2 linked regions of the Schizosaccharomyces pombe genome follow. The gene in region 2 interacts genetically with the main gene of each other region. Each region holds a gene or a part of one and is shown on either strand. Other genes may lie near its edges. The genes, in order: cox18 and oxa102.

Region 1 (3,604 bases), on a different chromosome or scaffold from region 2:
TTATAGTTCTCGCCAAGTCAAGGAAAGTTTCGATTCAACGAGACACACAGAACAAAAAAAAACTATTTAATCTTAGAGCTGATTTCCTCGCCCAATGCCTTTATTTCTTCAGGAGAAATAGGATAAGAGGGCCAGCCTACTCCTAATCCATATTCTTCGTTAGGCTTGGGAATGATATGGAAATGAACATGATCCACAAATTGGTGAGCAATGCGACCATTGTTTTGAAGTACATTGTAATTTTCAGGACCAATAGCCTTTGTCACCTTTTTGACAAGGGGAAGAATATCTGCACAAGACTCATCGCTCAGTTCATGCATCTTAGCGGCGTGCTCCTTGGGAATAACTAGTGCATGTCCCTTAGATGTAGGAGCAATATCAAGGAAAGCCAAAGACAAGGCTGTTTCAGCTAGTTTCACACAAGGAATATCTCCTTTAACAATTTTACAAAATATGCAGCTCATAGTGGTGGTTAGCTTAAGTCAAGGATGTGCAAGTGGGAAAATTATCGAAATTTACCGTAGTTAACGTAATAAACAGTGTGAATAAGTCAAATGTTTTTAAAAAAAATGTAAATTTTAAAAACGACTTACATGAAATCAATAGTTAAATTCTTCCTTAAAAATGGAGTAATCGGCGAGGTTGCATTTCTCAAAAAGCTTTGCAGGTAGTCATCCTTGAAATGCCAAACTCATGTCACACGAACAAGCCTGTAATACTAATGATATTTATTAAATATTATTTGGCATTTTAATAATAAAGTATCTTATTTTTCATTACTAATTCAGTCAGTTTTTGCCATGATCAGATGTTTTGTGACAAAAGATTTTCCTTTTGGTAGGCCATAACAAATCAAAAACCTAGCTTTACCATAAGAATGTAGGTAATTATGTACGGAAAGAAAGAAGGAATAATATGTGAGTCTCGACTAGTCAGGTTTGATTTTGTTAAGACCTTTCAGAACCAAACATGTAGAATTACTCTTGCTCTTCTATAACAGCTTTCTCAATGCAACGTTTTGTACCAAAGAGTAAATTGCAGAGGTAGTCCAGTATAAAGACAATGCCGTAGAAGTCTTAAATGCCATAAAAGATACAAAGAAAGCAGACATTATACCAGCGGTATTGAATATTTTCAGCAATCGAGAATCCGAAGGTCGCTTCAATATAGACATGTTTGTTAAATAAGTAACAGCAAGGACCGCAGGTAGTACACCGTGAGGATCTGGTAATGTGAGATCGGTAAACCAAAGCATACCCTCTGTTGACATACTCTCGGGACATACATCGACTGCCTGTCTTAACTGATAAGATGCAAACGCGAATAAAGGTAGTTGAGTAATAGGCAATGCGTAAATCATGAGAGGATGACAATTGAACCTTTTGTACAGCTTTTTTCGTACAGTACGGAAATCGGTATTTGTTCGGCAACGTTTCTTTGCTTCTTTGATCAGTGGTTGCACTTGCACAAACCGACGAGCCGTTTTAAGGCTTGCAATAGCAATTGGCAATGTAATAGTAGAACGAAGGAATATAGCCATTGCCGGAATTTCATAGCACCATGGCATGTACGAGTGAACGCCTATTAATGTTTGAAGCATATTGACCTTTTTAATAAATTATATTTAAATGCGTAAGAAAAAAATTTTGTAGTTCAGAAAAATATGGGTGTACATGAAAGCAGAAGATGTAATATCATACACGAGATGAGGTTTGGGAAGGTGGGCAAATTTCGAGTTTGCTGGTACTAACTTCTAGCCAAGAAAAAATAGTTGTATTTCATGTTTAGTATTTTAAGAATGCTTCAAATTTATAGCATGGTTATTTTTTGTAATTAATAACGCGTTTTCGATGTTTATTAGAACGATTTATTATAATGAGTGGGATGCTACAGAAGTACATTACTTATAAATATAAATTGAGCTGAACAAAATACATGAGTCTGATTGAATAAAGGTAAGCAGGAAAAAAAGATATTCGTAACAATTGGTTAAAAAAAAAGGACTTACAGCTTAAAATATTAATATAAGTTTTATAAAGAATCATACACATTGACATTAAATTTGAAAAACTGAAAGATACTAAATCACTAATTTATGGGCATTGCTGTCAAAAGCCATTCTAAGATTAAGTCATTAGCCCAAAATGTTCAATGTATTCAAATGTTAGCTGCAAACGCAAAGCTCATTTCTATCAAACTAATTTTTAAGCATCAGCTAAATCTTCGTTACAAAGCAATAACAGTTTACCAGTAGTGGCACGACTTTCAATAGCATCGTGAGCTTCTTTCGCTTCAGAAAGCTTAAAAATATGATGAATTGCAATATTGAGATTGTTGTCCAAAATCTCTTTCCATAGTCGCGATACATAACCCTCAAAGACAGCATGACCAGTTATGTAGCCAAACAGCGACGGACGAACAAATTTAAGACAACGGGCAGATAGGAATTTCAAAGGGATAGCATCAATGGCACCACTAGCATTTCCAAAAGAAACCATAGTGCCGCCATTGCGTAGCGCATCTAATGACGATGAAAGTGTATCGATTCCTACAGAATCGTAAGCGGCATCAACCCCCTTACCATTTGTATAATCTGCTACTACTTTGGTGAGGTCTTCATAAGAGCAAGCAATTTCAGCACCGTTTTTTATGGCAATACGACGTTTGGCGGCAGTGGATGCCGTAGCAATCACATGAACATTTCTGGCTCTCAGCATCTGACAAAGAAGTAAACCAACTCCACCGGCAGCGGCATGCACAACAACCGTGTCTCCCGTTTTCACAGGATAAGCTTCTTCAATAAGTGTATAAGCAGTAAGGCCTTGCAGGAGAGCAGCAGAAGCGATCTTCAATGGAATCTTTTCAGAGACCTTACTAACTAATGTGGTGGGAACGTTGGTATATTGGGCATACGCACCAAATGGTGTAAGGTAGACCACTCGATCACCCACTTTGAAATCTGCTTCAACTTTATCGCCGACTGCAGCAACAACACCGGCTGCCTCTTTACCAGGTATATAAGGAAGAGGAGCAGTATACAAACCGGTTCGCAAATAAGTATCTATATAATTCAATCCTGCATATGCATTCTTAATAACCAAGCCATTGGGTGCTGGTTTGGGAATTTCCTTCGTTATTACTTGCAAAACGGAAGATGGGCCGGTCTTGGAAACCTGCACTAATAAATTTGACATATTATAAAATTACTAAACAAGAAGAGCAAATAAGTTGGTTTTAAAGCGTAAGTAAGGATTATGGGAACGAGTGGTAATAGTTATCGTTTTATAATAATGAGGTTAGGCATGGAGATCGCAGTGCAACGATTGAATGAGCAAGAAATGGCATCGATGTCGATACAGGACACCCAACTTATAGTTGGCAAGGAATCTCCTAGAAGAAAATTACTAATCAAACATGATCTTGTTTTTTCGTAAAAAGACCATTAAAAAGGGAAAAAGGATGTTTGTAGATACAAACAGAGATGCGATACATGAAGAATGGTATATTTATAAATGTTTTAGACGGTCTAAACGAGCAGCAAGCTCTTCAAAAGAAGGAGCTTTATTAGAATGTGTTAATGTTGGATTTGTGGGTAAATAGTTAG
Region 2 (4,278 bases):
TTGATTGTTAATAAGACTAATTTCTTTCAAAAATATCCGTACTTTTCACTACTCTATCCAGTGTGCTAACACTAGAGCCATCTTCTTGAACAAATATTGTAAAATCATGAGAAGGAGCTTGATTTTTTTGGCGAATTGCTCGAACTATTGGGTCTTCTAAATTATGAGGACCCGAAGTCATATTAGTAACTTTTGCAAGCCTATATACAGCCTGGGTAAAATGCTAGATATTCTTGCAAAAAGTTTTGGTAGATTCTGGTTTGTTATACTTACATCGTCCCGGCGGTTTTGGAAAATGGTTTAACGAAAAGCAAAGAAATTCGTAATTGCTTTTCTCAATGAACCATGTGAACAAAAAACATATCTGTTTACAATTCTAAGTACTTTTTTTTTTTTTTATAATATAGATATATTTCATCATAATCTTTACTTCTGTATATTTAAAAATTTACAAACAATCGCCGCTTAGACAAACATATCTTAATAACCAATCGTGTTAGTAATAAGAAATGAACTTGTAGAAAGGGAACCCAAATACTACCTGAATTCCTTCCTAATTATATTGCCTTGCTCATTTTTGAGAGAAGCAAACTAAGTTGATTTGATGAAACTTACATTCCATGATTACCTAACTGAAATAACGATAGTTTTATTGATAAAATAAATATCCATAAAACACTTTAAGAGTTAATAATCATTTTATTTTTTGTTTAGACGGCTACGTCAAATTTTAGGTTATTGTAAATATTCTTTGATTTCTCATCGCTTTCCGTAGTAAAGAATTAGACAAAAGCGATTTTTAGAAAGAATAAGCAAAATAAATGTAAATTTGGGTATTTTATTAGAAGTAAAGGAAATAGAAAAGAGTGTTGCAAGTGTGAAGATATATGCAAAAACTAAAACATATGTAAAATTATGGGATAAAGCCAAAGGAAAGAAATGAATAATGCAACAAATGTAAAAAATTAACCATATCTTACAAACTTTTATGCTCTCAATAGGACATTGGAACACTTCTAAGAAAGAGAATTCCAAAGCACACAAAAAAGCTTAATCTTTCTTCTCGGTGGGTTTGGTAACAGAAGAGGACTTGTCATTTTGAGAATTATCAGATAGCGTAGTAGCTTTGGTAATTGTACTATTATTAGTAGGTTTTTGCTCATTGTTTGTATCGGTTTTAAGGAAACGTGTAGCATCTAGTATTTCAGAGGCTTGTGGGTATTTACCTTTTTCTTGAACCCCATGGACAATATCGGTAAATGACTTAACAAACGATTCATTTTGAGCGTTCGGTACTGGCATAGCAGATGGGACTTCTGGTAAGCCAAGTTTATGCCTTATGGTGGATGAACGCAAAAATGCCCCTTGAAATACACTGAAGACATTGCTAGGAAACCAATACATAAAAATTGCCATAGGAAAATTCATAGTGAATAGTGGACTGGCAAGGCAAAGAAATCTAAAAAATTTTTTCATTGAGGGAGACATAGCAACCTTATTACTTCCAGTTTCGCTACCAAGCTCTATATTGAGCAGCATAAGAAGGCCGTTTGCAACCGGAAATATGTGTAGAGGATCAGGCTGGGATAAATCATTAACCCACCAAAAACCACCATCAGTGAAACCCTCTACAGGTACACCCGCCATTGTCTTCAACGCGTAAAAAAAGCTAATAAACAGAATTCCCTGAAATACAGGAGCAGAAAGCAAATTCAAAGGGTTAACATTGTTAACTTTATAAAGGTTTTGGATTTGAGTGGTAGCTTGCATCATTAATTCGCTGTTTCCTTCAGCCTTTGCTTTACTCAACACACTCATGTGTTCAGCAACCTTTGGGTTAATGATAGCGAGCTTTGCGGACGTTTTCATCATCTTTAACATAATAGGAAATACTGCAATTCTCATAGCAACAGCACATGCAGCAATTGAAGCCCACCAAGGAAGGCCGCTCCAAATATGAAGCGTATTAAGGCCGTTTTGGAGGATATTATGAGGTAAGAAAGAAAAAGATGCTAAGACGGAGGACGACAATGGCAGACTAGGAGTGTAAACCACTTTCTCGGACCTAGATTTGGGGAAAGAAGTCGAAGAGTTGTGAATTTTTATTAAGGAAGAAGTACGCTGATTTCGGCCAAGCTTAGCAAAAGAGAAATTCTTAAAAAATGTATTATGTGTGTGGATCTGGCGAATCTTCGCTCCTTGTGTAGCAATCAAAAAGCATGATACCGAGTAATGAGATTTCGAAGAAAACTTTATTCCTCTTCCAATGACTGAAAACATGCTTGATTAATAGTGAAGCTCGAACTTCAAGGATATATGTTTTTACAAATCGAAGAACCAGCTAATGTTTATCCAAGATACCCAAAAATAAAATGAAGCGATTAAACCCAAAAAAACATATAAATAGATCCAAAATCCTCTAATAAAAATTTAATTGCAAGTTAAAAGTGGGTAAATTAACTGGTAAAATAACCTGAAAAGGTAGTAGAGATATTGAAATTTAGTTGTGTGCGCGTTGGCACACGGTGTAGTGTGGTATCTGTCGTTATATAAGTAAATACATACTATTTTTTGACTATTTATAATTAGATTGTTTCACACAGTTAAATCTGACACAAGCGTCAAAGTCAACAATGAAAATAAACTAGCAAAGCGATCGTTTGACCAATAATGACATTGGTTTATGTTACAAAGAAGTTAGTGATACATGTGTTTTTTGATTTAGAAGTTATGGCAAAAGCGGTTATTGATTCTAAAGAGGATATAAAGATTTAAGCGAGTTCTCTTATTTTTTTTTTTTACATTTCCTTGGTATATTGAGAAACGAGTCTTTGGTTAAACATGAATAGAATATGACTATAGTACATGTTTAGTTATAGTGAGTAATAGTGGATATTAATACTAACGAATTGCAGTGACAATACTTATGAATTGTCAATATTAATGAAAGATAACGATTTATCGTTATACTGTCAACAAATTTAGTATGTGTATTTACTGCAATAAATTGGCAATACTGTACGACATCATAGTACCGTATGTCCTACTTCCTAGCTGTGCTACTTTTGTAAAGCCAAATTGGAATTTAAGTAAAGGCTTCCATTTATAAAATTGTATTTAGGTTGTTAGCATTACCTAACATTTTGGACTATACCAGTTACTAAAGCTTTTAAAGACAATTTCCGACATCGAACAGAAAGCATATTTTGCAGAAGTTGATTGCTCTTATTTCTAAAGGCGTGTTGTGAATTAAAGCATTTCCTTTCTCAAATCTAAACTTTCATATTTAGCATTATATTGTAATCAATGGGATCCGCGGAATCCAAGTTAGTACTCGTTTTGTTCGGTATTTCGATTACTAATGCCTTTTGTTTATAGAATTTCTTTTCGTCATGCAATCCTTGCTTCTTTAAATACTAAGCCCGAGCGTGAAATTTACGAGTTTGTAAGTTGGTACACTTTGGAAATTGTTAACATAGCAGTTATTTACCTGCAACTTGACTGAAAATGATGTTTTCAGTTTTATTCTTGCTCAGGACATACGCATTTGCAGGGATAGCAACAAGTTTGACAATTTAGCCATATTGTTGCAAGTTTGTGTCCTTAACATCGTTTCAATTCAAAACAAGTTTTCAGAGCAGTATCCTTTAAAAAAGAATGCTTTACTAAATAGCTTCCTAATTCTTACACGGCTGTTACCATATCTCTATGAATCTACTAACTCCAGCAATTGGGTGCGCACGTATTTTCAAAAAGACTTCTCTCAAACCGTAGACGATTTAAAACCACTACTAAGCGAGTTGGGCTTAAATTACGAAATTGAATTACCGAACTCTTTCTCTAACTTGACTTCTCTATTGTCGTCAACTTTTCAGCTTTGCTTTCAACACGAATTTACTGTTTCAAAATATGCCTCTTCAGAGGAGAGCATATGGTTGGTCAATTTGAAATTTGAAGTATGTTCTTGCTAACTTCTTTCTTCAGGTCAGCTGGTATTGCTATCCCTGAAATTGCTCATCCACCTTCGTATGATCATCGACTGCATCAGTCCCTGCTTTCCTGCTTTCTCGTAGTTCTCCTTTCAAATACTTTATACGATTCTATCGGTATGTAGGTTTTTGTTATTAATACGGCGGGCTAATCCTTAGATGAACTTGACTTCTCAGTGCTCAATTCAATTGTTTCGCTTGATGCTAAAGATATTTACATTAGGGTTATATGCTCATTTGTTAACACTGTAAGAAAAGACAATTTTTTAAACATATTTCTAATTCTCAA

Evidence for each region.
Region 1: mutations in oxa102 (region 2) and cox18 impair growth when combined (synthetic growth defect), as found in Schizosaccharomyces pombe (one study listed by BioGRID).

The regions. Positions count from the first base shown.
Region 1 is NC_003421.2:1,792,775-1,796,378, forward strand, and holds cox18 (protein Cox18), read right to left. Parts: upstream 1,723-3,604; 5' UTR 1,601-1,722; coding exon 992-1,600; 3' UTR 503-991; downstream 1-502. Other genes in the region: hnt1 (adenosine 5'-monophosphoramidase), read right to left, coding at 63-464; zta1 (NADPH quinone oxidoreductase/ARE-binding protein), read right to left, coding at 2,205-3,194; ist1 (MVB sorting pathway protein), read right to left, coding at 3,507-3,604. UniProt on the Schizosaccharomyces pombe protein: Required for the insertion of integral membrane proteins into the mitochondrial inner membrane. Essential for the activity and assembly of cytochrome c oxidase.
Region 2 is NC_003423.3:2,869,900-2,874,177, reverse strand, and holds oxa102 (translocase Oxa101), read right to left. Parts: upstream 2,463-4,278; 5' UTR 2,281-2,462; coding exon 1,051-2,280; 3' UTR 685-1,050; downstream 1-684. Other genes in the region: calcium-dependent serine/threonine protein phosphatase calcineurin catalytic subunit Ppb1, read right to left, coding at 43-181; SPOM_SPBP19A11.07C (uncharacterized protein), read left to right, coding at 3,307-3,326, 3,379-3,445, 3,483-3,934, 3,985-4,106, 4,149-4,237. UniProt on the Schizosaccharomyces pombe protein: Required for the insertion of integral membrane proteins into the mitochondrial inner membrane. Essential for the activity and assembly of cytochrome c oxidase. It is essential for viability while oxa101 is not.